Linked DNA regions of Cricetulus griseus. The protein of the gene in region 1 interacts with the protein of each later gene in a biochemical or structural test. Links are inferred from orthologs where the notes say so. Each region holds a gene or a part of one and is shown on either strand. Other genes may lie near its edges.

Region 1 (18,260 bases):
GAGTATTTTGCGTCAATGTTCATGAGTAAAATAGGTTTGTAATTCTCTTTATTTGTTGACTGTTTCCTGTGTAGTTTGGATATCAGAATTAGGTAATGTTTCTAAAGTTTCTAATTTATAGGATAATTTGTTGAGTATTGGTATTAGATATTCTTTGAAAGACTTGTAGAAGTCTGTGCTAAAACCACCTGAATTCATTTTTTGGATTAGGAGACTTTTCTTGTTTTTTGAGATAGGGTTTCTCTGTGTAGCTTTGGAGCCTATCCTGGCACTTGCTCTGGAGACCAGGCTGACCTCAAACTCACAGAGAAGGTGTGCCCCACCAACATCTGGTGCATTGGACACTTTTAATGACTGCTTCTATTTCCTTAGGGATTAGAGAGGTATTTAAGTGGTTTTCCAGATGTTAATTAACTTCAGTAAGTGGTATCTACTAGAAAATTGTCCATTTCTTTTAAATTTTCCAATTTTGTGGAATATTGGTTTTTGAAGTATCACCTAATGATCCTTTGGATTTCCTTTGTCTCTGTCATTATATGTCCCTTTTCTGATTTTGGCAATTTGTTAACCTCTGACTTTTGGTCAGTTGGGTAGGAGTTTATCTATTGTGTTGATATCCTCAAATAGCCAACTCTTTGTTTCTTTGTATTGTTCTTTTTCTTTCTATTTTATTGATTTCAGCTCCCATTTTGATTATTTCCTCCCTTCTACTTCTCTTGTGTATATTAACTTCTTTTTGTTCTACATAGTTCAAGTGTCCTGTTAAGTTGCTAGTATGAGATCACTGTAATTTCTTTATGAAGGCACTTAGTGCTGTGAACTTTCCCCTTAACACCTCTTTCATTGCATCCAATAAGTTTGTTATATATGTATTCAGCTACCTTGAATTCTAGATAGTTTTTAATTTCTTTCTTTACTTCTGTCTTGACATAGCTTTAATTTAGTGGATTTTTGTTCAGTTTCTATAAGTTTGTAGGCTGGTTTTTCTTTTGTTTTTTAAACCAACTTTAATCAATGGTGGTCACAAAGGATACAGGAGATTATTTCAGTTTTATTGTATCTGTTCAGACTTGTTTTGTGAGTGATTATGTTGTAAATTTTTGAGAATGTTCTGTGAGGTGGTGAAAAGAAGGTATATTCTTTTGGGTGTGGGTGAAATTGTCTGTAGACATCTGTTAGGTCCATTTCATTCATAGTATCTTTTAGCTCCATTGTTTCTCTATTTAGTTTTTATGTGGGTGCAACCAGGGCATTGATTCCTCCCACTATTAATGGGTGAGGTTGGATGTGTGATTTAAGCTTCAGTAATGTTTCTTTTACATATGTGTATGCCCTTTTATTTGGGGCATTGATGTTAAGATTTGAAAATCCATCTTAGTAGATTTTTCCTTGGATGAGTATGGCATGTCCTTCTTTATCTCTTTTGATTAAATTTGGTCCGGAGTCTATATTTTAGATATTAGGATAGCTACACAAATTTGCTTCTTTGGTCCATTTACTTGCAAAATATTTTTCACACTCTTTACTGTGAGGATATACTTATCTTTGACTCTGAGGTGTGTTTCTTGTATGTAGGAGAAGGATTGATTCTGTTTTCACATATAGTCTGTTAGCCTGTATCTTTTAAGTGTGGAATTGAGTCCATTGGTATTAAGAGAGATATTAATGACCAATGATTGTTACTTCCTCTTATTTTGTTGTTGTTGGTCGTTGTAGTGAGTGTGTGTGTGTGTGTGTGTGTGTGTGTGTGTGTGTGTGTGTGCCTTGTGTTTTTTCTGGTGTGATTTTATTTATTGTCTGTCTTTTTGTGGATGTAGTGAACTTCCTTTGGTTGGAGTTTTCCTTCTCGTGCCTTCTGTAGAGATGGACTTGTGATTACATATTGTATAAATTTAATTTTGTCAGGAAATATCTTGTGTTCTCCATCTATGGTGATTGAAAGTTTTGCTGGGTATGGAAGTGTAAACTAGCATTTGTGTTCCCTTAGAGCTTTTACATATCCATCCAGTCTCTTCTGGCTTTTAGAATCTCCATTTAGATGTCAGGTATAATTCTAATAGTTCTAGATTTATATGTTAAGTAGCCCTTTTTTCTTGTAGCTTCTAATCTATTTTTGATTCTGTATGCTTAGTGTTTTGTTTATAATATGACACAGTGACTTTCTTTGATGATTGGTGTTTGGAGTTTTGTAAGCTTCTTGAACCATTAGCAGGCATGCCCTTCTTTAGGTTAGGAAAATTTTGTCATCTGATTTTGTTAAATATATTTCCTGAGTTTTTGAACTGGTATTCTTCACCTTCTATTCCTATAATCCTTTTTCTTTCCTCATTCAAGATATTTATTAGGAGGTAAGAATCCAAGAGAGTGGCTGCCTCTGCCAGGGTGGAAGAAGACAGCTCCTATTCTTCTTATATTTGTTTTTTATTCATAGTGCCCTAGATTTCCTTAGTGTTTTGTGTCAGGGTAATTTAGATTTAATATTTTGTTTGCTGATAAATTTGTTTCTTTTATCATATCTTTAATACCTGAGAGTCTCTCTTCCATCTTTTATATTCTGTTGCTGTTGCTTATATCTGTAGTTCCTATTAACCAGATTTTCTATTTCCAGATTTCCATCCTTTTTTTCTTTTTGCTTCTACTTCAATTTTCTGTTCTTGAGTGTCTTCACTCACCTGTTTGTTGGATTTATTTAAAGTATTTCTTGATTTCCTCTTTAAGTCTCACTATCATCTTCATGAAGTTGTTTTTCTGTTTTAAATGCATTAGAATATTCAGGTCTTGATGTTGTAAGAAAGCTGGATTTAAAGGCAGAGTCTGTTCTTGTGTGCAATAAATTGGGAGGGGATCGTTGGAGACAGAATCTTTGGAATGGGGTAGTTCAAATAGCAGACAGTTCAACCAACTGATCTTCTGATTAGTCAAGTGATGAGTTTTTATTCATACCTTTAAGGATTAACTTTTTTCTTATTTATTTATTCATTTTAAAACAATATTTTCTTATTTTATATACCAATTCTCTCCCCTCCTCCAGCTTTCCCCATCGTCCCCCCATCCCACTCCCCATCCACTCCTCAGAGAGGTTGACTCCATGGGGAGTCAACAAAGTTTGCCACATCACTTTGAAGCTAGACCAAAACCCTCTCCACTATGTCTAGGCTGAACAAGGTATTCCTCCAAAGAGAATGGGCTTCACAAAGTCATTTCAAGTACTAGGGATAAATCCTTGTCTCACTGTCATTGGCCCCAAAGACTAGCCAAGCCTCACAACTGTCACCAAAATTCATAGGCTCTACTTTGGTCCTATGCAGGTTCCTCCAATATCAGTCCAGAGTCATTAAGCTCCCACTAGCTCAGGTCAGCTGCTTCTTTGGGTTTCTCCATCATGTTTTTGACCCCTTTTCTCATATTAACTCTCTTTCCTCTATTACACTGGACTCTGGGAGCTTGGTTCAGTGCTTAGTTGTGGATCTCTGCATCTGCTTCCATCCATTGCTGGATGATGTTTTATGATGATAATTACAGCTACTTTGGAAATCAGTAGGGAACTTTCTCAGAAAATTGGGAATCCATCTACATAAAAAAACAGCAATACCAGTCTTAGGAATATACACAAATCATGCATATTCATATCACAAGGACATTTTCTCAACTGTGTTCATAACAGCATTATTAGTAATAGCCAAGACCTGGAAAAAAACTAGGTGCTCCTCAGCCTAAGAACTGATAAAGAAAATGTGATAAATTTACACAATGGAGTACTACTCAGCAGTCAAAATAATGACATGTTGAAATTTGCAGGCCAGTGGATGGAACTAGAAAAAAAAAACATCCCAAGTGAGGTAACATAGACCCAGAAAGATGAACATTGTATGTACTCACTTATGAATGAATAGTAGACATACAGCAAAGTATAATGAGACTACATCCTACAGACCCAAGGGAATCTAGGTAGCAAGGGGGACATTAAGAAAGACATACATGTATAACCCTTGGAAGGTGAAATGGACAAGATCTGGGAGAAAGCTGGGAACATGTTAGAGGGGAGAAGGCATAGCAGAAACAGGGGAGGAAGGGAGAATGGGATGGGGAGGAGAAGATGAAGGAAAGGGATGGTGGAAACAGGAGAAAGACAGAGAGTAAGAGCAAGGAAAGGGATAACCTCATTGAGGGAGCCAATATGGAAACAGCAAGAAACCTGGCACTAGGGAAATACCCAAGAATCCACAAGGTTGACCCTACATAAAATTCTAAGCAATAGCAGAGAAGGTGACTAAACTGGCCTTCACCTGTAATCAGATTAAGGATTAACTCTTAATAAAAGCCACAAAAGTACATATTTTTATATTTTCTGTTGTAAATTTTTTATTTTAATTCACAATGAATGAAAATAAAAGAGAGAAAGAATTCATGTAGAAGTAGCAGAACCATATTCACATTTGGGAAATGAGATGATGGGTAAATGAGTTGGAAATTTATGGACATGTAGGCAAAAAGTCACAAACATCTCTTACATTCAGGGGATAGGGCAGATGGTGAGAGATGGCTGATGTAAATGATTCAGTTTATGGATACAGCTTCCTACCCTTCAACTTTCTTCCAGAATATGAAATATGCATAAATTGTTTCCTTAAAACTCAAAAGTTTGATTTGCTGGTTGCAAATTTAAGAAAATGTTCATGTGCTCACACCAAGGTCTCTGAATTGGTATTTTCATAGCTGAATTCTTGTTACACTCTGGGGAAACAGTGGTGTACATTAATAATCCAACTGTCATTATACTCAAGTATGTCCTTTTTCTAACATGTAAATTAAGGATCTGAATACAGCTTCAGCTTCCTCGTCATGTAGCTCTCAGACATCACATGGTCTCTGAAGTGCTGGGCTATAGAGGCGCTGCAGCTTAGGTCTTAAATCGCCAATATATGACTTGGTGATGCAGGAAAGGCCTCAGGTGGGGGATGCTTTTGACTGGCAGGGAGATACTGTTAGGCTACACAAGAATGTGCAACATGAAAATGAGACTATAAAAATGTTAAAATTCTTCTCAAACTATCACTGAAATAATTTTTCAGACATGAATTTTGTGGCATTTATTTTGGCAAACAAGTTAATTAACCTTTGATTCAAACTGTACAATGTTCCATTAATTGAAATATTTAAAGTTTCTTTTGCTGTCAAATATTTTTCTTCAAATTTTAAACAGCAATTGAAACAACCACAGGAGAAAAAGAGGTATTTAGTCTAAGGAAACACTTACCTTTCATAAATCTCTTATCTTTCAGGAAAGAACGGTGATGATCAGAAGGCAGACAGTAGGAGGATTTGGTTTAAGTATAAAGGTAGCCCCCTTTCCAGTCTATCTTTGCAAAGACTAAGTTTTAAAGGCTAACATTTTATGTACATTAAAATGTTGGTGGTTCATAATAATATAAAATGTCTCTGTGATGTTTGGAACACATTAAAATCTGGGATGTTCTTATAGAACATATCATTATCATGTGATGTAGATATTACAGGAAAGATCTGGGGAACTTACCTAATGTTAAGTAGAACTTGACAGCTTTCTTTATGAATCTTCCAATGATTATGAACTGTATTCATGGCAAGAAGCTTTCCTTTCTCCTCCAGCAGCATGGAAAACTGTTGAGTATAATGGGAACAATTCTCGCTGGGCATTGGTGGCAAACGTCTTTAATCCCAGCACTCAGGAGGCAGAGGCAGGCAGATCTCTGTGAGTTCAAGGCCAGCCTGGTCTTCAAAAAGAGTTCCAGGACAGCCTCCAAAGCTACAGAGAAACCCTGTCTCAGAAAACCAAAATAATAATAATAATAATGGGAACAATTCTCTATGGAACTATGGAAGAGAATTGGGAACATGTGAGACATGGATTGTAATATATATAATCTTGCTTGATTTTCACTTAGTTAAAGTGAAAATTGATAAATTCCATTTATCAATTCTAAGTTTTGAATATGATATTTAAGTTTATTGATCTGTACAGTGTTGTCTGTTTTGACTGATAAAAATGTATCATCTTGCTATTTATCATCATTGAAATGATTGAAAAAAGTGAGAGAATTGGATTAAATGTGAGTAATGAAGACTTAACCCAACAACTTTAATTGTGTAATTAATCTGACTTCCTGAATTATTAAATGAAGGTTGTTAATCACAATTATTCAGTTTGTATTTACTTACTTAGTATGTTGTTTTTGTGAAATTTTAAAGACATTTTACCCAGATCCTGTTATCTTTGTCAGGAAAGGGGCATTTTGAATTTGTGACTATCACCTATTTTCAGCTTTCTCAAAATGACTTAATAAAAATGGCAGGGTGTGGAGTGCTAAGAACCTCAATATTCAAAATATTTGTGTTAAAATAAACTTTACGTGTATTTTTCATTAACCCAGGCAAGGGGCACATACAGAATATATTACAGGATATTGAAATTAGGCCAAGAAACATGCAATTTTCTGTGTTTGTTTCAGTTAAATAGTCAATTTTAGCACACACTGAAGACATAGATTTTCTAAAGGGAAGTTATTGTCTTAATTCAGGGTAACAGAAATAAAATACTGTGTTATTCAACTGTGACAGTATTTTCAGTAGAGGAAACATTAGGCAGGTTTTGGCACACAGCTTTTCTAATTCAGCATATGATTCCTGAGTTTTAGCTGAAAAAAACTTTTAAAATATATTGGTAGAAGGGCACCAGCATGCCTGTTTGGAAAACATTATCAAACACATATTATTAGAAGTGAGAACTAGCTTTCCCTGCCCTCGAAGCTGCTCAGAGATCTGAGTGTCTCACTGTAGTGCCTACTACAGTGTTCTCACCATGCAGTGTGCAGATGCCACCCCCCGGCCTCACTGATGTTGTCCCCACAGTGCACTCTGTTTAAATTATCCATAAAGCCTTCCTTTCATAGTCCTCGGAGAATGCTGTGTGCCGATAGCCCCTTGATCTGTGGTCCCCACTGTGTAATATGTGAACAGCTTTTCCATTACATTTTTCTGCCATGGTCCCCAGCACGTACTCTTTAGAGATTACTTCTCAGATGTCCTTACTCTAGTCCTCACTCCGCAACGTGAGGATGAATCTTCAGCCCTCGCTGTTGTGGACTCCACTGTGCATTCAATGTGCATGTATCCCTTCAGCTCACCATTTTGGAGTCCATTTTCTAAATTCAATAGGCAACGATGCCAGCAACACTTTATTGTCAGTATTTTACCCAATACTTTACCAATGAACCTTAGATAGGATTGGCATATAGGTTAAATTGTTGGTACTGAGTTTGGGCCATAACAGTCTGTAACAATGCCTCTTTTTGCGTTTGGTGGAGGCTGGGGTAGACAGACCTAGGGATGGTTGGTAGGATGTATTAGGTTTAAAATGAGCTGATTAGTGGCTTTGAAGAACAACTTAAGTAAGATTTTACTTTTACTCTTATTTTCCCCTTTCTCAGCAATAAAAATAAAATACATAAAAGTTTAAAATTATAGTTGAGTACTATTTTTAAGTGATTTTCCATCTCATATCTAATTCTACTCAGCATTGGAAATGAATGCCATCAGTGAGCATGTTCTAAAATGTTGTAATTATACTGATGGGCAGCTTAGGGAGTTATTTATTCTAAGCACAGAGCACCACCAGTGACTCTAGATGGCCCCTTCAACCACCTGTGCTAAACATGTATACTCCGTCTCTACACAACACTTCACTTGTTTATATATGTCCTTGGTTTATCACCGAACACACCCAAACTTCTTACACTGTTGGGGTGAAACTGTATGATTCTAAGAATTGTTTATTTGCTTTTATAAAAATTTTGATTCCTTATTGCACTTCCTTCTTTTCATATTTGAGCCAAGGGCCGCTGTTGGATTCTTGGATGATAATTGGTTAGCCTATGCTTTTACACGCAGGAGTCTAATACTAATTAGGAAACACAGGTAGTTCTGTTCCCATCACACTTAGACATCTCATGATTTTGTTTATCCATCTGTATAGGCAGAAGGTCTCTCTGGTTATTTAGCACTCAAAATGAATTACTGAAAGAGTGTGTGTTTGCCAGAATAGAATAGTCAGAGAATTGAAATATATAAAATATCTGATGTGTGGAATCCTACATAACAAATGTCAAGATGCCTTGCTTTCCCATAATGGATTTTGAAGAGAATGTCATTACTAACATTATGAATTTTATTTGAGAAATAAAAATTTTATAGTCAGTTATTACTAATTATTAAATGTCATTACAAAACCACTAAATACTACACCAGGAAGTGGTGGCGCTCACCTTTAATCCCAACACTCGGGAGGCAGAGGCAGGCAGATCTCTGTGAGTTCAAGACGAGCCTGGTCTATAAGGGCTAGTTCCAGGACAGCCTCCAAAGCCACAGAGAAACCCTGTCTTGAAAAACCAACCAACCAACCAACCAACCAACAAAAACCCATTACTTATCCAAGCTTCATGGACAAGCTTATTTAAAAGAAATTCTACAAATTTATTTCAATTCTGCTTAGTATTCATTAGATGCAATATTTATAGCTTGCAGTTTTTGTTTATTTGTTATTTTTAAATTTTTTGGCTAAAAGCTGACTTAAAAATATGATGTATGACTGTCTCTTTCTAGGGAGGTGCAGAACATAACATTCCAGTTGTCATTTCCAAAATCTCCAAGGAGCAAAGAGGTAATGTGCTTAGCTAACCCTGAAGTGGTCAGTCCTCTGTAATCCCACGCTCACTAACTGGTATCGATGTGGCTCCCCTGGATTCCAAGCCTCATATAGTGAGAAGTCAAATCTGGTTCTTCAGTTTCCCTTGTTCCTCCTACAGAACAGAAAGGGAAAATGATGGATTCACATAGTTCAAATGGCCATGTATTAATTGACCATATGTGAAATGACACAATTAAGACACATCTGAACTGTTGGTTAAAGATCGAAAAATGAAGACACATTTAGTGGACAAATCCATATTCGATAGATTTCTCAATTTTACTCACTTCATATGAGGCTTCATCTAAAAACTATCACAGATAAATCAAGTGTTTATTGGCAATTATCAAGAAAACAGCAAAGTAATAGAACAGAGCATAGAACAGACAGATGGAAAGTCTAAATCTGAGGTATTTGCATGGAGATATTATACTGTAAATGCACTAAGAAAAGTGACCAAATGTGAATGAATATGCATACATAATATGTATATATTACACAGGCATGCACACTCACTCACACACACTCACACTCACACACTCATACACTCACACACACACTCACACACACACACACACTCACACACACTCACACACTCACACACACACCACACACACACTCACACACACTCACACTCACACACTCACACACTCACACTCACACACTCACACACTCACACACTCACACACTCACACACACTCACACACTCACACGCACTCACACACACTCTCACACACACACTCAGACACACTCACACACTCACACACACTCACACACACACTCACACACACACACTCACACACACTCTCACACACACACACTCACACACACTCACACACTCACACACACACCACACACACACACACACACACACTCACACACACACACTCACACACACACACACACACACACACACACACACACACACACACTCACACACACACACACACACACTCACACACACACTCACACACACACACACACTCACACACACACTCACACACACACACACACTCACACACACACACACACACTCACACACACACACACACACACTCACACACACACACATCACACACACACTCACACACACACACACACACACTCACACACACACACACACACACTCACACACACACACACACACACACTCACACACACACACACACTCACACACACACACCACACACACACTCACACACACACACACACGTCTTAGAAAACTGTTAATAACATGCCTTGATCACATTCATACTCATTCTTCCAACTTTCCAAGATGTAGTTACACTTCCAGAATGTATCATCTGAAAAGTCAAACATGCTAAACTGGAAAGCCTCACATCCAAAAGTATTTGGGCCACACTAATTGGCATTTTTGAAAAAGGAAAAAAGTCACAAAGTTGGGAGGGGACTGACCATGTTTTAATAACTGTAAGGTTATAAATTTCTAGAACCAAAAAGAAATGTCTGCCTATTCCAGCAACTGAAAAAAAATCATATTAATACTTTGAGTTTACATTGTGTGTGACCCTATGAAATACTAACCATAGAAAAGACATAGCTTGTTTACAGTTTTAACCTTAAGACAAAACATCTTTATTTATTTGACAAATGCCAAGGTGTATTCAATTTTTTTTCTTATTCACAGCGGAGCTGTCAGGACTGCTTTTCATCGGAGATGCAATTCTACAGGTATATATCTCATTATTGTCTTTATAGATGCAAACAAAAGCCAATTTACAGTACACTACTTGAAACTAAGTATTTTCTTTCATTGCAGATAAATGGGATTAATGTGAGGAAATACAGACATGAAGAAGTGGTGAGTTTACTTTTTTCTAATGCTATCATATCTCAAATTCAATTTAATTATGAAAGTACAAAATAATGTAGCATATTACCAATTCTAAGTGTCTTTCAACCAATTTTTACTCTTAAAATACACTTAGAAGTACTATCATGATGAAATGTATTTCAAATTGAAGTATACATGTAATTTTTTCAAATGCTTGAAGGTTTATGAGAAAAGTATTGATTTCTGTAAATTTTTAAATGGCATTGGGGCAATTGGCAATGTGTTCTGTAAGTGTGTGTGTGTGTGTGTGTGTGTGTGTGTGTGTGTAGAGAAAGGTGTAAAAAGGAGAAGGAATTGATGAAGAGACAAAGGGTAGATTTACCCACATTTTCATTATGGCAGTTTCTTGCATGATTTTACATGTGTTGGGGCATATACAAACATTCTAATTTAATACAGCTGGGACATGGAAGCTGAGTTTCAGCTACATTTATAAACAGTTAAACAGTAAATTTCTTCTAATCCATACTTCCATAGATAGGTTAGTCTCTATTGCAGATAATGAAATGGCATTATAAAACTTAATCAAAGTGGTAGACATCTGGGGAAATGTTGGTCACAATTAAATAAATACCATTGAGTTCTTACTGAAAGAGATAAAGAAAACTACATTTAAAATACGCTCAAGGATCAAAAAGCAGTTATTCTGATGACTTATACATTTAAAATCTCAGCAGGGAAGCTGCAAATATCTATGTAAAATTTCCATTTCACAAGTAGTGCTATTGCAGAGAGCTGGGTATCATGGTCTGCTGGTGTTTACCAATAATTTTGTAGTTACAAAAGCATATTGAGGTCATCTTTTAGACACTCTTTGTTGAAAATCCTGTAGAAGTCTTCAATTTCCTTTGAATATGTGCAGGGAAAACACATTGAACAACAGAAAAACCAGTGTGACACCACCAGAATCTAGGGACTCTACACAAGCAAGACCTGAACATCCCAACACAGATGAAGCAGAAAAGAATGACCTTAAAAAAGGTCTTCATGAAAATGATAGAGGGCCTCAAAGAGGATATGAAAAAAAATCCCTTAATGAAAGGGAGAAAAAAAATACCAGAAACCAACAAATCCCTTAAGGAAAGCCAAGAAAATACAATTGAACAACTGAAGGAAACAATTCAGACAGTTCAAGACCTGAAAACTGATATAGAGACAATAAAGAAAACAGAACCTGGAAGCATCCTAGATTCCTCTCAACTGAAGAATGGATAGAGAAAATGTGTTACATTTATACAACAGAGTACTACTCAGCGGGAAAAAAATGGAATCTTGAAATTTGCAGGCAAATGGATGGAATTAGAAGAAACCATTCTGACTGAGGTAATCCAGTCACAAAAAGACAAACATTGAATGTACTCATACATGGATTTTAGAGATAGAGCAAAGGATTACCAGCCTACAATCTACACTGCCAGAGAAGCTAGGAAACAAGGAGGGCCCTAAGAGAGACATTTTTTCACTGAGAAAATGCTTTCCAGTCATATGATTTTAAGGGGTTGGAAGGCCTTCAACACTGTTCTCAAATTAAACTCTCTTTTGTCAAATTAATTTACATTTTCACAAGATTCAATCTTTCATGGCATCTTGCCCCAGGACACCATTTCTTTCATATTGGTGAAAAGTTCTCTGAAGTGGGAAATTACCAATACAGACTCAGGTAGAAATATAGGGGCATTTAATAGGGAAAAGCCTCACTTACAGAGCGACCTAGCCAGCCGGCGTGGCAGCAGTCTGTACCGCAAGTACCAAAGTGAAACCGAAACAGAAACACAGTCCCCTGAAAGCCACATTCTACGTCACCCTGACCATGCCCTCGAAAGCGTGGTCAGGAACACCTGTAGCCAGCCCCTAAGTAGGCGTGGCTACAGCTTCCCCTACAATTCCCCTTTTAGTCTAAAAGAGGATTAAAACTTAACAGTGTAAAGTATCCAAAATTAACAATCATAAAGGTAAAATATAAGAAGATATGTCACATCCTAACTATCTATTTTAACTAAACTCTAAAGTAATCTGAGAGAAATGTCCAGGCCTGAACACCTCCTTCCAAATCCAACCATAAACAATAGGAAGCTATCCCTAACTAGGTATATACACTATCCTAAGTGACAACAATGGGGGAAGGGGGCATAGCATCCTCCAAGTTACTTCCTGCTGAAATGGGATGATGATGGTCATGTGGTGTAGGAAGAAAATGTTAGTGTAGTGAAAGTCGTGAGTGAATTGTATCCAGTCCATGATACATGGGATTCACTTGATTGAAGATCTCGCTTGAAATCCTTAACTTGATTGAAGTCAGTACCCGAACCTCTGGCCGGAGTGTCCATTGAAATGGAGTAAGCTGGATCTAGTGCAGTCGAGGAGGTGTGGCCCATTTTTTTTCTAGGGTGTCTAGGGATTGCTGTCAGGCAGGTCTTTATTGGCTGTGTGGAACTCAAACATAAACAGTTAGTAGAGAAATGTTTGTTTGTGTATGTACACATGCTGGGGAATGTAACCATGAGAGCATAACAATTATGAGAGGGTGTACACCTTGAGAGAAAGATCCAAGAAAAGACAAGACAGTCCCCAAATTCTTTTTTTATTTTGTATTATATCAATTGGCTTCTTGATACAACACAGAAACACTAAAGTTTAGTTAAATAACGTGCTTGGATTTTAGAGGAGGAAAGCCAAATCCACCTCTAAACCCAGCATTGGTTAATTGAATAGGGACTAGGAAATAAAAAGAAATAGAGTTTTTTTGAGAGACAGCTGTAAAGTTTACCGTATGGCACATTCCTTCTATTTGATGGTTATAGCTACCATTTTTTTTAAAGTATCTACCCATGTAGTGTCCTTTGTCTTCTGAAGATGAGTTTTTCTGTGAAGATAAAAGTAAAACACTTCCCTTTCCTTTGTGAGGTTTCTATTTAGTTTATAAGATAGACCTTAGTAGAATACCTGTCATTTGTCCTCGTCGAGAGGTTTGTTCTTTTTTACTCGAATCTTGATCAACTTTGATGGTATCTAAAGTTTTTTTTCTCCTGTGGAAACCAATGTAAAACCCCAACCCCAACGTAGCACATGTCCTGGTTTCCATTTAGAAGTTGGTGCATCTTTGAAGTATACCGGCTGATTGAGTTTAGTAGTTTTTTTCATAGTCTAGTGTCTTTCTGTAGTTGTTTGTCCTTTTTTATTGGCATTAAGAAAGTTTAGTGTTAATAAAGCATTATGTAACCTATGTTTGGGGGGTTTAGTCTTTTAAGCTTGCTTGTTGAGTATCTCCTTAAATGTTCTATTAGATTGCTCAACACTGCTTGTTCTGTAGGATTGTGTGGTATACCAGTAACATGTTTTATGTTATAATATTTGAAAAATTTTTCTAATTTTGTAGAGACATATGTTGGAGCATTGTTAGTTTTTGTTTGTGTAGGTATACCCATAACTGCCATCATCTTTAGGAGGTGTGTAAGAACAGAATCAGCTTTTTTAGAGTTAAGAGCAGTAGCCGATTGGAACCCTGAGAATATGTCTATAGTATGATGTACATATTTCAAGTTTCTAAACTCTGTAAAGAGAAAGACATCCATCTGTCAAAACTCATTTTTCCAAATGCCCTTAGAATTACAACCTGCTGGCAATGGAGTTTGACTATAAAAGGAACAAGTAGGACAGTTTCTCACTATCTCCTTGGCTTGTTGCCAAGTGATAGAGAAGTCCGTTTTCAAACCTTTGCTATTTACATGATGTTTCTTATGAAATTCTGAGGCTTCTAGCACACTTCCAATTAATAAATGATCAATCTCATCATTGCCGTGTGCTAGTGGGCCTGGCAGACCCGTATGGGATCTGATATGTGGAATGTATATAGGATTACTTCTGTTTCTGATAGTTTCCTGTAATTGTAAAAACAGAAAAGTTAATTCTGTATTATCAGGAACAAATTCTGCAGTCTCAATGTGTAACACGACTCTCTCTGCAAATTGGGAATCAGTAACTATATTAAGAGGTTCTGTAAAATCCTTAAGTACCATGAGAATTGCATATAATTCTGCCTTCTGTACAGATGTATATGGACTTTGAACTACTTTACTTACCTCACCTGCTTTATAACCTGCCTTACCTGATTTGTTGGCATCAGTGTAGAAGGTAAGAACTCCAGAAATGGGAGTTTGTCTTACAATACGTGGAAGAATCCAGACTGTCTTTTTTATGAATTTAATTCTGTCAGTTTGGGGACAGTTGTTGCTAATTGTCCCCAAAAAGTCAGTAAGAGCTATTTGCCAATATTCATTATCCTTCCACAAGGAGGAAATTTCTTCATTAGTTAAAGGTACTATAATTTCTGCTGGATCTTTTCCAGTCAGCTGACAAAGTCTTAATTTACCCTTTAAAATCAAATCAGAAATCTTTTCTATATATGTCTTTAACCTTTTATTCTGTTTATGTGGCAGAAATATCCATTCCAATATAGTGTCTTCCCTTTGCATCAGAATTCCAGAAGGGTATTCTCTGGATGGCAAGATAGCCAGAATACAGTCTAAATCAAGGTTTATCCGATCTACATGCGCATCCAATATTCTGTTTTCTACCCATTGTAACTCTTTTTCTGCTTCAGCAGATAATATTCTCAGACTGTTTAGGTCCTTATCACCTTTAAGGGCCATTTTTAAATGCTTTAAGTCATGTCCTTCTACACCAATAATTGTCTGTAATTGAGAAATTTCCCCTAATAATTTCTGAAGAGAATTAAGAGTTTGATAATGATCTCTCCTAATTTGTACCTTTTGAGGTCTGATTCTTTGTAAGTCTATCTTGTAGCCTAAATAGTTAATAGAATCTCCTCTTTGTATCTTTTTTGGGGCAATCTGTAACCCCCAATGGGGCAGAACTTCCTTCACCATTTCAAACATACGTTCCAAAGTTTCCTTATTAGAATCTGAAAAAAGAATATCATCCATGTAATGATAAACAAGAGATTGTGAAAATTTCTTATGAATTATTTCCAAAGGTTGCTGTACAAAGTGTTGACATAAAGTAGGACAATTTAGCATTCCTTGTGGCAAAACCCTCCACTGATATCTCCTAACTGGCTGTGAATTATTAAGAGTTGGTAAAGTAAATGTAAATTTTTCTCTATCATTTTCCTGTAACGGTATTGTGAAAAAACAGTCTTTTAGATCAATGACTATGATAGGCCATCCTTTAGGTATTAAGGAAGGTAATGGCATTCCTTAATTAGCAATTCTCTGCCAATAACAAGCATAAACATTTATGAATATTTCTGGGCCAGGTGGGCAGATAAGATCTGACAAAATCAGGAACCTCATGTCTCAGAGGGGACATTACTTGTAAAATGTCTGTGTAAACTTTAGTCTCAAAGGGGACATGACTTGTGACATGTCCTGGCACTGCTGAATAGGCTGTGAGGGCTAATGCAGTAAGGGGCTGTGTTTTCTAAGATGGGAGAAGGAGTGTTTGTATGTAAAATTACAGTCATGTGGATTGTTGAGCTAGAAGTTTGTAATTGGTAACTGTAGGCACCAAGGAGGTGAAGAGATAATGTATCTCTGTGCTTTCTACATACTGGCTTTTGCTTTTCCAGCAGCTGGAAACACAGCATTTGTAACTGGCAATAGCTGTGTAAGGAAAATGTGTAGCATTTGATCTCTATTAACATTTTTACCAAATGTCAGCTGATTAAAGGGAACTTCTCTGTACTATATCGAAGGGAAAAAGCTAAGGCTATATAGTGTGCAATATGGAAACTGTGGCTTCCAGCCTTAGGGTAAGCAGTGAGCACTCTTACAGCTGATGTCCCAGTGAAAAAGAGTTCCTTTCTCTGAGGCCTATTTGAAAATACAAAGCACGCAGTATATATTCTATATATCAAGATTATACAACCCAATGAAATCATCCTTCTTATTTCCCACAGACGTATGTACCAAGTAGATGTAATATTTTCATGAGATTAAACACACACAAGCTGTGGGACAGATCAAGAGGTATTCTTAGGGAACAGTTGAAGCAACTCATGAGAGAAATTACAGACAAGAGAAACCTGTGGTAGGTCAGCCTGTTAAATCTTAATTATCCTGTTGTATTTCTCATGGCCCTTGACATAAAAGGGTTCTCTTTCATATGTGGAGTGTGTGTATGTTTATAGAGAGGTCACATGAAAGTATGAAAGGGGTCTTATTATATCATCTCTCATATTCTCTCTTGAACATACATTTAACAACACATATAAGACATGAAAGTTGAAGACACCATCTTGGGAAAGACAGGGCAATGAGAAGAAAAAGGAGTGATGAAGGTTGGAGTGAGCATGACTACAAATGTTTAGGTACAATCACATATACATATGAAATGTAATGGAACACATTTTGTGTGATTAATAAAAATACCAAGAAAAAAACTAATCATATATGTGTGCAATGCCTGACATTGTGATTGCATGCTAATGCCCACATACACTTCATTCATTTCTGTCAGCCAGCTATGATAATTCTCCTACCTCCACAGCCTTAGCATAACCTGGCATTTATCATCTTTAGAAACTGTAAAAGAATTATAGTAGTATTTGCCTTTTCCTAATAATAGTCACACTGTTAACTTTTTATGACTTAGATTGTTACTCTATGTTCTGATCTCTCCAAGGCCTTTATCATGAAGGAATGTTGGATTTTGTCAAAGGCTTTTTCAGCATCTAGTGAGATGATTATGTGGCTTTTCTTTTTCAGCTTGTTTCTGCTCTTATTCATTATTTATTACAGACTTGTACTTAATTTTGTTAATTCAATATTGGGTAAACTTAATTTTTCAACATGATTAATTGTACAAATTCAGTTTTTATTGGTAAGTAATGTTATATACACAAATTTAGCATCTCCTGATCAAGATATAGTATCTTTACATATTTCGGCATTTTATTTATTTAAAGGCAAATAAGAACATTCACATATGTGCATGCCTATCCCTGGTTTTTCCCCTGGTGATTCAGTTTTCCTTATCACCAAGCACTATTATCCTCTTCTTTATTCTAGAAATAATTCTACTTATGTCATTTTTTTCTGTTCTATGAATTCTGTTTTAATTTTTTATAATATAATTTGACATTTCTTTGCTGAATGTTTATGATATTTCAAGTGAATTCACACAATTGTAATTTCTTGTCAGGTATTATAAAGTTTATTTTATGTTTCTTGTCCTACAATTCCAAAATTTTGCGTACTTTGTCACAAGTTGGTTGTTGCATTCTCTTTTAAATTGTTTTTTGCTTAAGTAATTTTTATTTCATCTTTACCAGATTTAAAAATTGTGTTACATATTTTTAATAAAGATTCTACATTAGTTTCCTATGTTTCTTTTTAAATAAGGGATTCACTGCTAAATTCACAGGTATGGCTATTCATTCTTTTAAACTATGTAGTAAAGAATTTATTTACAACATTCTGTTCTAGTTGATATATCTTTTTTTTTCACTAGAAATCCCACTGTTCTCTGCTTGCTTGTCCTAAAGAAGCAAAAGAGCTTTCTAGAGCCACCTCCTGGTATCACTAATTTGGAAAGGGATCCTTTACTTGGAGGTTTCCAGTCAGTTAGCTATTACAGAGGATCGGGGATCCAGTTGATGGGAATGGTGGGCCTTATCATCCTAGGCTTTTCTTCATGGTTGGATTTCTGGAGTGCCAGTATTAG
Region 2 (14,746 bases), on another chromosome or scaffold:
TTTTTTTTCTCTCTCTGAGATCGTGTTTCTCTGTGTAACTGCCCTGGCTGTCCTGGAACTCAGTCTGTAGACCAGGCTGGCCTTGAACTCATAGAGATCTACCTGCCTCTGCCTCCCAAGTGCTGGGATTGAAGTGTACATCATTGGAGAACTGACTATTTTTCAGTATATGCATTTAATGAAAACTGGTCGTGAAAGCGTTTTGCCTGTGTAGCTCAGTGATGAAAGCAGTGTGTTTTGTGAAATCCAAGAGTTGCAGTGTTGAATCTGCTAAGACTTTTGCAACTGTTCTCTACATAATTTAGAGGTAACAACTATATTTCATACATCTTCTTTTGACAGTTATGAATGCAGGGATGAGAAAATACTTCCTACAAGCCAATGATCAGCAAGACTTAGTGGAGTGGGTAAATGTATTGAACAAAGCTATAAAAATTACAGTAAGTATGTATTTAAAATTTTCCCTTTACAGTAAAGAAGTAATCTTTACATTTTAAAATGTGTCTAATATCTTCAGCTTACCATCAGGTTGCATATTCAAGCTTGGTTTAAAAGATAAGTTCTGAATGTGAGCCATTTTCTTGTGCATGGTGACGGTCAGCCTGTGAATGCCTTTCTCTGTGTCCTTAGTAAAGACCCACATCACTGTGCATGCTGATTGTGGTTTTGTTTTAAGTCTAGAGTAGGATGAGAGGCTTTGGACCATTTACTCTGGGGATGGTCACAAGCATTCCCAATTTCTATGCCATGACTGGCAAAGGAGAAGATGGGTGTGGGAGAACAAGGGAGGGCACAGGTATAGAGATTGAGTCTGAAGAGCTGTGGAAACCAGAGGGTCCTGCCTGTGTGCTCTAGGGATGTCTGAGGCTCTAAGCTCCTTTTCCCTGGAGTTATAGGACCTGCTATTTCTTCCCTACCTGCTGATACTACAGCTATTCAACTCGTTTCTTCTGTTTGGTTAAAATGAACATCAGTCAGTACTTACTGACTACTTACACTGTACCAGTAGGCAGGCTTTAGATGGGAGATTTTAATCCCTAAGCAAGCCTGTTGGTTGTTGGACCCTAAATTCTGCAGTACACTGAGCATAGAGCCCCTTCCTAAAGTCTGCCAAACTTTTCTGAGCAAGTTGCTGTTGCTGCTGCTGAGCTCATGGACTGCCTTGCTGTACCTTTCTTCCTTAGAAAGAGTTGGCTACCTGGAATAGGTTGGGAAGGAGCTCCTCCTGTGTGGGGTTGTATCATTTAAAGTTTGTTTTCAGTGAAGTATAGTTATTTACTAGTTCTGATCTACTCTTGGCCAAAGAGCATGTTCCTGGAAAATCAATGCATATAGTCCTCATCTAAAGTGAATGTTCTGTGTCTATGCCACACAGCAGCACAGTTAAGATGGCCAACCAAGGCTGTTCTTAGTTAGGTCAAGTTTTTTGTCTTGCAGCAGAACAGCTTGTTACCACATGACAGAAAACGCCCACATACCACATCTGAACTCTATGTGAAGCAGAAGTTATTTTTGGGCTTGTGCAGTTTCAGGATAGCAGTATTTTGAGCAGATTCAGAAGTTTATGTTCTTATAAGGTTTTAGCTGATCATGTTGAGCTTGTAATAAATATTCCCTACCTGGAAGATGTCCTTATGAAGTCCATATGTAGAACTTTCCTGAATTTGTTTTTCACAGTTTACAATAATAAGCAGAACTGGCTTCTTTTAGTGATTTAAAGGAAAATGGAATGAATGTTCTCAGCATTTTACTAAGTTGGAATGCCTTGAATTCCTCTCATTTATTCGTGGGACTAAATAGTTCTTCATGTCATTGCAAGCTTTTCAGCAGGCAGGAGAAACTGGTAATATTTCATTAGCTCTTGGTATCCTGCACCTTTATTTTATATGACATTTTTATTGTTTTTAGGTAAATCTGGATAATGATTTCTAAGATTTTATAATTCATATTTAGAAACAGAAATAACCAGTAATTATAAATACAGTGATGTGAATATAGAATTGGTATTTGACTGGAGTCATTTTTAGGTAAAAATAGGAAAATGAGAGAATTCACAGGCTTTAATAAGATGTATTTTGTTGGGGTTAGAGAGATGGCTTAGTGATCAAGAGCACTGGCTCTTCTTGCAAAGGAGGTTTGGTTCCCTGTACCCACATGACTGCTCACAACTGTCTATAACTCCAGTGCAGGGAGATATAGTACCTTCTTCTGGCCTGCACAGGCATCAGGCATGTAGGTGGTACACAGACATGAAGGTAAAACACCCATACACATAAAAAAAAAAAAAAGTGATCCAGGTGGTGGTGGAACATGTTTGTTTTTTTTTGTTTGTTTTGTTATTTTAAAGATTTATTTATCATGTATACAGTGCATGCCAGAAGAGGGCACCAGATCCCATTACAGATGGTTGTGAGCTACCATGTGGTTGCTGGAATTGAACTCAGGACTTCTGGAAGAACAGTCAGTGCTCTTAACCCCTAAGCCATCTCTCCAGCCCCGTGGCACATGTTTTTAATCTCAGCACTTGGGAGACAGAGGCAAGCAGATCTCTGTGAGTTTGAGGCCAGCCTGGTCTACAGAGTGAGTTCCAGGGTAGCCAGGGCTACACAGAGAAACCCTATTTTGAAAGAGAGAGAGAGAGAGAGAGAGAGAGAGAGAGAGAGAGAGAGAGAGAGAGAGGTAGGTAGGTAGGTTAAAAATAGATATTTTGTTAATTTTTTTTAAAGGTCCTACCAGTTTAAACCTCATGGGCATTTTGCACATTTAAGTATATTGGTGTGTGATATGTCTAATTTCATATCTAAATGGCTAATGATTTATATGTAGGATCTTTGAAAGATTAATACTTCCATTTTAGTACAGTGTAGTTTTACTTTCCTCTTCAGTCCAAATGACATTTTGATGGACCATAATTTAGTGGTCTGCTAAGTACTATGTATATGTAACCTCTACACTTAAAACATTCAGAAATTTAAAATTGGAGTATTCCAGAGTATGGTTTCACCTCACATTGTTAGAGCATTGTAGCCGAGAGCCTGGTGATTAGTTAAGTGTTCCAATTGTAGTAGTTGCACCTTAGTGCACTGCCCCTCACAACTATAGTCTGTCTTTCCTTACCTCCCCTGTGTACATTGTAAATTCTCTCCTAAATATTTAAAGAAGAAACAAAAAGATTTTTTTTAATTTGAATTAAAAACAGTATTGTTTTACCTGTCAATCCCAGTTCCCTCTCCCTCCCCTCCTCCCCTACCAACCCTCTCCCCCCAACTAAAACCCTACCTATCACATATCCTTTCTGCTCCCCAGGGAGGGTGAGGCCTTCCATGGTGGGGGGGGTCCATCAGAGTCTATCATATCCTTTGGAATAGGGCCTAGGTCCGCCCCCATGTGTCTTGGCTCAGAGAGTATCCCTCTATGTGGGATGGGCTCCCAAAGTCCACACCTATGCTAGGGATAAGTACTGATCTACTACAGGAGGTCCCATAGATTTCCAAGGTCTCCAGTTGGGCATTGGTGGCGCGCAGCTTTAATCCCAGCACTGGGGAGGCAGAGGCAGATGGATATCTTTGAGTTCGAGACCAGCCTGGTCTACAAGAGCTAGTTCCAGGACAGCCTCCAAAGCCACAGAGAAACCCTGTCTCGGAAAAAAAAAAAAAAAAGATTTCCGAGGTCTCCCCACTGACACCCACGTTCATGGGGTCTGGATCAGTTACATGCTGGTTTCCTAGCTATCAGTCTGGGGACCAAGAGCTCCCCCATTGTTCAGGTCAGCTGTTTCTGTGGGTTTCACAGCCAGGTCTGGATCCCTTTGCTCATCACTTGTCCTTCTCTGCATCTGGATTCCAGTTCAGTTCAGTGATTAGATGTGGGTGTCTGCTTCTACTTCCACCAGCTGCTGAATGAAGGGTATAGGAGGGCATATAAGTCAGTCATCAATCTCATTACAGGGGAGGGCATTTAAGGTAGCCTCTCCTCAACAAAAAGATTTTTAAAAGGTCAATATTAGAAAAAGTATTTTTTAAGGACGTGCGCTCAAATGTGTAATTGTCTACCATCAGTGTAGTGGTTCCTTGATCCTTACTGGTTTAAAGTGATGAAGTTACCCGTAGCTTTTTCCTAAGCAGAAGTTCACTATTTCTAAAATGTCTTTTTCCACCATAATGTCTAATTTAAAAGTCTACATTAGCTTTTAAACAGAACTCCACAGGGACTTTTTTTTTTAAATGATAACTGAATATTGGTCTAAAGAATGCCCTTGTTGCCCTGCAGTGTTAACCAAGCCTTTGCCAGCCAGCCAGGTCAGATGGAAGGACTGCAGGTCTTGCTGCCAAAGAATTTGTCAAACACTTTAGGTTCTGTTTTCCAGCTCTGCCCTCATTCCTTGTTAGCCGAATTTCATTTCCCCTGTAACTTTTGAGAAGCCTGTAGCTTTTTATTTATTTTAGTCATGAATGTCTGTTTTGCTCATATCTTCCTTCCTTAGTCATTATTTTCTTTTCTAATATTGGAACGTTCTATTGCGGTCATAGTAAATGCCTGCTAAGAACACATTCAGACCCCTCCCAAGAAATAGTTACATAAAAAGCAGGGAAGAAGCAATATAATAGAGCATATTTAATTTCTGACATTTGTCCTCTGCCCTGTGAGTGGCTGTTTGATGCTCATTAACAGTTGTCTGATTTGAAGGTGGGGTGTGTATGTTGGGGTGGAGGTTCTTTATCTTAGAGTTTGGATTTGACTCAACTTTCACTAAGAATTTTCTGTAAATTCTAAGGGAATAACTTTATATCTGGATACTTAACTTGCACTTTTCTTGAAAACAAGGTAATTGTAATATAGATAATTTCTATTGTAATCTTCAGTTTGAGTGGGGCAGTTGTGCTTGTATAGACTTTATTATAAGGGTTGTCACCAGTGGGTCAGTTGCACAGAAAAGGAATTTTTGTGTTAATATGTTTCTGGAAGACCAGTGGGGAAAGCAGCATATATTAGTTAGTGTATTTAAGTTTCCATGAAAAACTTGTCTTTAGAAATCCTTACAAGTAGGAGAACCCTTACCTGGAAGATACCACTGCTTGCTCCTGTTGCAGGTCACCACAGAGCAGCCGTCTCAGGTCAGCTCTGTAGCTTCCAATTCTCTTACAGCTCTTTTCTAATTTCAGTGATTTGACAGGTCCACACTTTGTAGAATGACTGAAATAAATTATGTGATTCTAGAAAATGTGCTAGAGTTCATCTGCAAATTGTTTTAGGGTGTGGTATCTTAATTTTAGCCAACAACTAACACTTTGTCCACTTTTACAATCACTGTTAAAAAGCACTCAAGAGTGTAGCCTCTTAGAATCCTACAGGCATTCAGGGCTCACCTCCTTCCTTTCCCTCCCCTTTCTTTCCTTTCCCTTCCCCTCCTCCTTTCCCCTTCCTCTTCCTCCCACCGTCCCCCTCTCTGTTTTGGTTTTTCGAGGTAAAGTTTCTCTGTTTAGCAATGGCTGTCCTGGAACTCACTGTAGACCAGGCTGGCCTTGAAAGAGATTCACCTGCCTCTGCCTCCCTAGCACTGGGATTAAAGGTGTGCGCCACCACTGCCAGGCTCCCTTTCTCTATTCCTCCTGTTTCCACCAGTGATTGATATTGTATTTGGAGTATTCATTTGAAGCTGGAGGGTGCTGCCACAGCCCAATAGAGAGCCTGACAAGGGAGGCAGTGGGAGAAAATGACATTACCTAAGATATAAGCCATTCTTACTCATGAACAGTTAATGTCCATCAGTACGTTTGGATTGAGATTTTCTCATACACGCCACCCATGCTTATTGAGTACTTTGAAAAGAGTGTCTTTGTAAATAATCCCTTGTCTGCATTGTACACCAGCTCTTCTCCAAATCTGGCGAGTGCGATGTGATGTACAAAAAAGAGCATAGTGTGGAGCAGGGTTTCTTGAAGTGTAATTTGTGAAATACTGTCCCTCAAAAGCACCTGTTCCTTCTGAAAGCAGTTTGAGGGAAATGTTCCAGAGACTCATTTTGGGGATGGAGCCTGGGAATTAGAGTGTTAGTGATGTTCCTGGGTAATGTCTTATGTATATTCCCTGCCTTAGATGGAATCACATTAGTACATGTAGGGCCTTTGACTACAGTGCTAGTGGTTTCTCTGTAGTTCATAGGTGATGGGCAAATGGCAAATGACTTAATTTTAAACATTTTTATGCCATTACCTTTGTGTTTGTCATTCATATTGTTGATAATATTTCTGAAAGACTGTGTGAGGATTCCTAAATAAAATGTCCTTTAAATCATACTCAGTATGTAATTGATGCTGTTTGTGATTATTTCATTTTATTGCACAAACTTGACTAGAATGTAGTAAAGCAGGGATCTCAACCTGTGTTCCCTGCTGCCTCTAAGTCCTGCTTCCTTCTCAAACTGTGCTGAGAGTTGGCTAGGGGAGAAAGGAGGAAGTGTATGAAGTAGTGGCTGCACATGCAACAGCAGTCGGTGTTGATGGCTATAGTCTAAACTGTTCTCAGACCAGAACAATCTGAGATCTTGAATCACAATATTGCAAATAGATTATTATTTTTTAGTTATCTACAGACAGCCAGTTGAAAATGCTGTGATGATGGAGAGGGTTGCAAATACAATTCTGCAATTTTGGTTGCATGATAGATAATCCATCTCACTCTTCCAGGTACCAAAGCAGTCAGACTCACAGCCGGCTTCTGACAGCCTGAGTCGTCAGGGTGACTGTGGCAAGAAGCAAGTGTCTTACAGAACTGATATTGTTGGTGGTGTTCCCATCATCACTCCAACTCAGGTAACAAATCAGTGCTCTGTTAAATGTAGGTCTCATGACTGCATATTGATACTTGTATTTTCAACAAAACTGAAACAGGATGCCTTTACTGAATTAATTCAATGTCTATTAACTACAAAAGCTTTTAATTTAGTTTCCTGTTCTGAAAGTGTTTTGCAAACTTTTGTATGTTTTTTGTAAAAAAGATCAGAAGTTACAGAGAGAATCACTCTTCCTTCTCTGAGTTGAATTCTTTGTATTCTCCCTGTAGAAGTGGAGATAGAGTTACATGTCAGACTTTGTAGCAGCATATCTCACATCAGTCATCAGAAGTTATTCTCTATTACTTTTAATGGCTACAGAGTTCTGCTGTGGTGGTTATTTATAAGCTTCTACTGATAGACAAATGGAGGGCTCCGCTCCGCTCCCCACCCTTCCCCTCCCCATTTTCTGAGCAGCTGAGGTTACAGGTCTACACCAAGATAAAGTACAGATGCTGGGTGAGAGTCTGTAAATATGTGTAATTTTTTTCAAACCTGCGTGAGTGCGTGCGTGTGTGTGTGTGTGTGTGTGTGTGTGTGTGTGTGTGTTGTTACCTACAACCTGACAACTGCAACTCTGGCTGGATTGTGTCTTAAAAGTACTGATGTGCCTAGGTATTAGTAAAAAGAAACTTATGTAATTTAAAAAATGAACTTGAAACTTTTATATGCACTTAAGTTCTTATATTGCTATTGAGGAAATGCGCTTTTTTATTTTTTAATAAATATATATTACAAATACACTGGAGAATTATGCAGTGCTGCCTGTGTTGGATGCAATCCTGGGCCATAAGTCTACACATTCCTTTGCAACTGGACCTGTGATAGCAGAACCTTTCATCTCAACTTTATTGTTTACTATGACCCCTGTATTGTCTTAAAAAAGAAAATATGGAATGCTTCACAAATTTGCATGTCGTCCTTGCCCAGAGGCCATGCTAATTTCTGTATGGCTCCAATGAGGAAATGTACTTTTAATACAAATTAAATTAGTAATAGTTGTGAATTTAAAGTGATGGCTATTGCCAGTGTTGGATATTCTCATTAGTTTTATCTTTTGATCTTAGAAGACTTTGTTGTTTTGATCCCCTCCCAATACTGCCCCCCCAATCTGACCAGGGACAGGGTTTCTCTATGTAGCCAGGCTGGCCTCAAACTCAGAGATCTGCCTACCTCTGCCTGTGCCTCTGCTTCTGGCTTGCTGGGAATTAAAGGTGTGGGTTACCACAACCTGGCTTAGACCATTATAATTTTAACAGGTATCATATTTTTTCAATCCTTGTGTCAGGTTGGTGTGATTAGTGGAAAGAAATCTGATAACATCTATCAACTGACTTGAGTATCTTTTTCTATGTTTTGCAAAGGGTATATAGTAACACCAATCTCTGTTCTAGGGAGAGTTTAGAGTTACTTTTTTTTTTTTTTGCCAAAGTTGAATTAAAAAAAAAAAACAAAAACAAAAAAAACAAAACATAGGCCTGGGCAGTGGTGGCACCCACGCCTTTAATCTCAGTACTTGGGAGACAGAGGCAGGCCTCTGTCTCTGTGAGTTCAAGGCCAGCCTGGTCTACAGAGTTAGTTCCAAGACAAGCTCCAAAGCTACACAGAAAAACACTGTCTTAAAAAACAAAGACAAAACAAAACAAAACAACCCATAAAAACTTAGTACTTTTAGGATTGAGCATGGGAGAATTTTGCAGGTCAAGGATTAGGCCTTTAGAGTTGACATCAGGCATGTTATCCATAAAAGGAAAAGACTGATAACTGCACATCTGTATTTCAGATACTTGTTCGTGAAAGGCCCTACTCAGAAGATGAATAGGAAAGATAGACTAGCCAGCTGTGGTGGTGCACACCTTTAATCCCAACACTTGTGAGGCAGAGGGAGGTGGGTCTCTGAGTTAGAGGCCAGCATCCCTACAGAGTGAATTCCTACAGCTAGGGCTACACAGAGAGACCCTGTCTTGAAAAACAAAAAGCCAACAAACAAAAAAGATAGACTAGAAGAAAAGTTTACAAGCTGCTTATCCAACCAAGGACTTTTATCTACAGGAACAAAACTCTTAAAACCCAATAATTAGCAAACCAAAAAAAAAAAAATCCTTAAATGTAGACAGAAATCATAACAGACATTTCACCCACAAATGAAATATGTATTAATAGGCACTAGGAGAGATGGTCGCCATTTGTAGCCGGTAGAAAGAAATTCGAACTAAGGATACAGTGAATGATTATACCTTAGCAGAGATGCTTGGGCCTCTCATCCATTGCTGGTGGAGATATAAGTAAAATAGTTCATCCATTCGGGGAAAAAAAAAAACAATTCAGTGTGGTAGTTTTCTTGTTGTCATCTTTGAGTAAATTTGTAATTACTCTCCAGCCTAGTATGTATTCTCCTAGGCATTTATTCTAAAGAAGTGGGTAATTATGGTCATACAAAAACCTGTATATGGATACTTATAATAGTTTCATTCCTAGTAGCCAGAAGCTGGAAATAAGACATACTGTTAATTGGGGAGGTGGTCAGTAGCATGGTATGGTGGTACATCCACAGCACTGGATATAGCAGCATAGTTGATCAACTGTTGACACTAAGAGCCACCTGGATGAGCCTTCAGAGAGTTGAGTGACAGTTTTAAAAAATAATCTCAAAAGATCCTTACTATGGGCTTCAGTTTATATTCTCAAAATGTCGGGAACAAATGAATGGCTGTGAAAGGAGTACTACAAGGGCATCATCACAAGCAGACCCTGTGGCAGCAAGCAGTTCTTTGTGTTGATTATAGCGATTGTTGTGCAGCTTGTAGTTGGGGACCACCAACTCACAAATGACAACATGGAGACTTATGATTAGTTATGAAAGCTCAGCCTAAGTAGTTTACTTAGGCTTGTTCCTAACTGCCGCTTATTACTTAAATTAACCCATTTATATATTATAATATATAATAAATATATATTAATCTACATTCTATCACGTGTCATTACCTCTCTCCTGTCTTTCACTTCCTGTTTCCTATCTCCTGTTATCTCCCCAGTGCCTCGATATCTCCTCCTACTTCCTCTCTCTGCCCAGATGTCCCTCTAGCTGTTGGTTGTTCAGCTCTTTATTAAATGAATCACAGCAATATATCTTCACACAGTGTACAAATATCCCACAACAAGCTGCTGCATGTGGTAGTATTACATAGGAACAAACTATATAACTATTGGAATCTGAATAAAGTTTATGTATACTTGGTACTCTGGAAATACGCACTTCCCCATTGGGAATAATTTGGTTGAAGTGTATATAGGACCTCAGCTACTTTTTATATTTATTTTAACTTCCTGCGAATCTGTTTAATAAATTATTTCAGTATAAAAGCCCCACTCCAAGGACAAGCACTAAAGACAGGCTATAGAAGTGGATGTTTGTGGTTTGATCAATGACAAGAAAGTCATGATTGAATGTCACAGATTTTAAGATTTTCTAAGATAACGTTAAATGAAAGTATATTTTAAAGCAAAAAAATAATTTCTTTTACTTTGTTTTAGAAAGAAGAAGTAAATGAATGTGGTGAAATTGTTGACCGAAACAATTTGAAACGGTCACAAAGCCATCTTCCTTACTTTCCTCCTAAGCCACCTCCAGACAGTGCAGTTATCAAAGCTGGGTATTGTGTGAAACAAGGAGCAGTGGTGAGTAGCTTAACCATACCTGTGAAGTTGGGATGGTCATGTGCCAGCAAGCTTGCAAGTCGTAATTCAAGTTGTATGCTTTATTTTTGAGAGGCCCAGAGTGGAGAGCAGTTTGTTGCTGGGAAGGGTGAGAGGGGTTGCTCCATGTTTATCACAAAGCATAGTATTTCCGTGGTCTTTTGGGCATTTGGGTAAGTTAATGCATATTTCCACAAACATTTAGTTGCAGTGAGCTTTCCTAAGTTTAGCTTCATGACAAGGGTTTTTTTCATTTGTTTTTTAATTAAAAACTTCAATTTGTGTGTGTGTGTGTGTGTGTGTGTGTGTGTGTGTGTGTGTGTGTGTGTATGTGGGTGAGGGAAGGGAGCATGCGTGCTATTCATTATGTTTTGAAATCAGAAGACAACTTTGTCAGTTCTCTCTTTTCACCTTCACTTGGATTCCAAGGTTCAAATTCAGGCAACTGCCTTTACCTGCTGAGCCATCTTAACCCCCAGAAAGTTCTGTTATTTTCCCACACCTTCAGAAATCGTTAGGTGTGGAACCATAGGAGAAGTGGAAGTACAAGACCAAGTGGCTTCCAGAGGACAGCTCTGAGGTTGGGTTATTTAATCTCCCAGGCTCCCAGTTTTGTTTTATGAGAGACTGTTTTTGGTTTTTTTCGAGACAGGGTTTCTCTGTGTAGCTTTGGAGCCTATGCTGGCACTCACTCTGGAGACCAGGCTGGTCTCAAACTCACAGAGATCTGCCTGCCTCTGCCTCTGCCTCCTGAGTGCTAGGATTAAAGGCGTGTGCCACCAACGCCCGGTTGAGAAACTGTTTTATTAAACCTCTGGTCTATGGTTTTTGAAAGAGGTAATGAGGGATAGCTTTTGGCACAGCTCCAGGTGCTAAACAAGCCCACAGGTGAGTCCAGGTTGTCCCCATTATCAGTGTAGGAGATTTCTACAAGATAAACACATTTACCACTATTTCTAAGACTCCAGATATTTTTCTAGTAGGTGCTGTGGTTTACACCTATAATCCTAGTATTTGGGAGACTGAGGAGGGCAGGAAAGAAAGTTCTAGGTTAGCTTGGGCCATATAGCAAACTTGGCTTTTTTGTTTGCCTTTGTTTGTTTTGATTTTTTTGAGACAGGGTTTCCCTGTAGCCCTGGCTATCCTGGAATTCTCTGTAGACTAGGCTGCTGATCTTGAACTCAGAGATCTGTCTTTCTTTGCCTTCAGGGTGCTGGGTTAAAGGTGTGCTACAGCACTACCACCCAACTCTGTGTGTCTGTGTCTGTGTGTGTGTGTGTGTGTGTGTGTGTGTTTGTTTTTTAATCAACTTTTCTAAAGTTTATTCTGTATGAACTAAATCTTGAGAATCTCAAGAGAAGATAAAGTTAACATTTGAACATTTGAAAACAAAAGGAAAAAAATGTGAATAAAGAAATACTTCAAACTCTCCTGGTAATTTTGCTTGATTGTTCTCCAATTTCTGGCAGCTCCGCTTGGGAACATTCTTGCCTATTGGATCATTGGTCCCAGGGAAAGGAAGGTGGGACCAGAGGTTTCTCAAGATAGGCTGTCTATAGGTGGAGGCAGAATATTCCCCAGGCTATGAGGTTTAGTTGTAGGCTAATTAGGCTTTTAAGGAGGTAACCTGTAGTCCTAATTCTTTTTTTTTTTAATTTTTCTTTTTTTCCTAATTCTTTAAAAAAATAATCATTTACAAATTTTTCCTTAATTTTTTGATATTTTTATTTTATGTGTATGTATATTTACTTAAATATGCATCTGTGTACCATGTGTGTGCTGTGCTAGTGGAGGCCAGCAAGAGTGTAGGATTCCCCTGGAAGTGGACTTAGAGACAGTTATGAGCTGCTGTGTGAGTATTAGGGAATTGAACCTGGGTCTTTTGAAAGAGCATTCTTAACCACTGAGCCATCTCTCCAACACTATTTTCAGATACTTTTGGGTACTAAAAAATTGACATAAATATCCATATGAAAGTGTATTAAACATTTTCTGTATGGGTTTGTTTTATTTTGTATTTATTCCTGACCTGTTATATATGAAATACTTGAAATACATGTTGTGAATAGAGAAACCTGATAGGTTAATGACATTTCCTGAACTAATCTTTACTTTGTAGGCTGGGCTGGCAAGAAGGGAAAGGAATACCTTCTCTTTCTTTTCCACTGTTGGAGAAATACCAGGCTCAGCAATTAAGAGCACTGGCTGCTCTTCCAGAGACCCTGAGTTCAATTCCCAGCAATTGTATGGTGGCTCATAATCATCTTTAGAGGGGACTGATGCCTTCTTCTGGCATAAAGTCAGTCATACATGGAGATAGAGAACTCGTTCATATAAAATAAATTTTAAAAAAATCTGAGGGTCTGGAGAGATGGCTCAGCAGTTAAGACTACTCTTCCAGAGGACCTGGGTTTGGTCATTCACAACTATCTGTAACTCCAGTTCCAGGGGATCTGGCATCCTCACACATGTATGCAAGCAAAACACCAATGCATATAAAATAAAAATAAAGTTTTTTTAAAAAAATCTGAAATACCAGAGTCATTCATAAACTTGAAAGTGAGCTGCCTAAGACTGAGACTGTCATTCAAGGCCTGATGGGAGAGGTGCCATTTACCACTTACCTTGGGGAGGGTGTGTTGTTTCTGCAAGCTTGGCATTTCTGATTGTGGGTTGAATGATTTTGAATGATTAAGGGATGATTAACATTGGACATTCTTTGAAGCCTATGTCTGTGTCTTCTCTGATAGATGAAAAACTGGAAGAGAAGATATTTTCAATTGGATGAAAACACAATAGGCTACTTCAAATCTGAACTGGTATGCAGTTACTTTATAAATATGCTTGGCAAGTTATACTGTAGCGATTGTATGCTTTTATACTGTTTTGCTTTTCAGATATTCCAGTTCTGGTTTTGAGGGCATCTATATTTCAGTCTACTTGGTTGTAATACATTTGGTTAGTCACATATTTCTTTAATGTGTTTTTTTTTTTTTTTTAAAAACTACCATATCTTCAAGGAAGCATTCCATTTTGATGGGTCTAAAATTATAACCACCCCCCAAATGTAAACCTCTGTCAGAAGGGCATTGGGAGAGGCAGTGAAAGGAATCCTCTAAAAGCAGCTTTCAGTCCTCTACATGTCTGCCTTCTCTGCGATGCTTTTTCTTAGCCCTTCTTTTCCCATTTCATTTGAGATATCTTTGTTATGTTCTGAAGGCAGAATCAAAGACTGAGTTCTCTCTATCCCGCCCCCCCCTGACACTATTTAAGATGTGAGGTGGTCGGGGGCTGGAGAGATGGCCCAGAAGTTAAGAACACTGGCTGCTCTTCCAGAGGTCCTGAGTTCAATTCCCAGCAACCACATGATGGCTTACAACCATCTGTAATGAGATCTGGTGCCCTCTTCTGGCCTGCAGGGACACATGCAGACAGAACACTGTATAAATAAATCTTAAAAAAAAAAAAAAAAAAAAAAAAAAAAAAGTCAGGTGTCCTGAATCTTACATGGATTATTATATAAATTAATGAAATTCTCTGCCTCTTCTACAAAAGTGTGGGACTTTTGTGTGCTCCACGTTGTATTTGAGTGTAGGCACGCTAACAACACTGTCTTGATATAACTCAACAAACATAGAACCAGATGTAAATATTATGTCTTCATGTGAATGCATATGAGTGTAAAATATAATATGTCTTGAGAAAATGATCATTCCTCCTCCCCTTTAAGAAACCTGGACTCCATGGAGAAATAGCAGATTTTATAGCTGGGAAAAAGAAATAAATGCAAGATGAGCCTGGAATGTCTTATGTCAGAAAGCAAGAACATGTTGAGAAAATGGTAATCACCCAGGAACAACTTTGCAAACAGTTCTCTCACTAGATTATGGACAGTGAGAGTATCAAAATACATACTGATTATAAAATTACAGCCTGTCTATCCCTGTGTTCATGTAGATACAACTCAGCAATTCAGTGGTGACTGAGTTCGTGTAACTACAATGAGGGACAAGATGCCTAAATAGGAATGAGAACCCAATCTGTGAATAAACACTTGAGTGCATAGGGAAGAGAACAGCTTTACAGTGAAGAGGCCTGGCAGAGACCGGTTCTGTCAAATGGTCAGGTTCAGTGAACTTCATTGGTGGTGAGGATGTTGAAACCACTTACCACCTGACATGATAGCATGAAAAGAACACAGCACCAGTTCTGTGCTGC

What was found.
Region 2: the proteins of Sntg1 (region 1) and Plekha1 form a complex in vitro, tested with the Homo sapiens proteins (2 studies listed by BioGRID and IntAct, with this or other methods). The link is inferred for Cricetulus griseus from reciprocal best matches to the Homo sapiens genes SNTG1 and PLEKHA1.

The regions. Positions count from the first base shown.
Region 1 is NC_048595.1:235,596,832-235,615,091, reverse strand, and holds part of Sntg1 (gamma-1-syntrophin), read left to right. Parts: intron 1-5,282; coding exon 5,283-5,339; intron 5,340-8,637; coding exon 8,638-8,695; intron 8,696-10,370; coding exon 10,371-10,414; intron 10,415-10,502; coding exon 10,503-10,544; intron 10,545-18,260. UniProt on the Homo sapiens protein: Adapter protein that binds to and probably organizes the subcellular localization of a variety of proteins. May link various receptors to the actin cytoskeleton and the dystrophin glycoprotein complex.
Region 2 is NC_048596.1:69,920,778-69,935,523, reverse strand, and holds part of Plekha1 (pleckstrin homology domain-containing family A member 1), read left to right. Parts: intron 1-342; coding exon 343-440; intron 441-6,686; coding exon 6,687-6,812; intron 6,813-7,717; exon of another isoform or gene 7,718-7,818; intron 7,819-10,366; coding exon 10,367-10,510; intron 10,511-13,278; coding exon 13,279-13,347; intron 13,348-14,746. UniProt on the Homo sapiens protein: Binds specifically to phosphatidylinositol 3,4-diphosphate (PtdIns3,4P2), but not to other phosphoinositides. May recruit other proteins to the plasma membrane.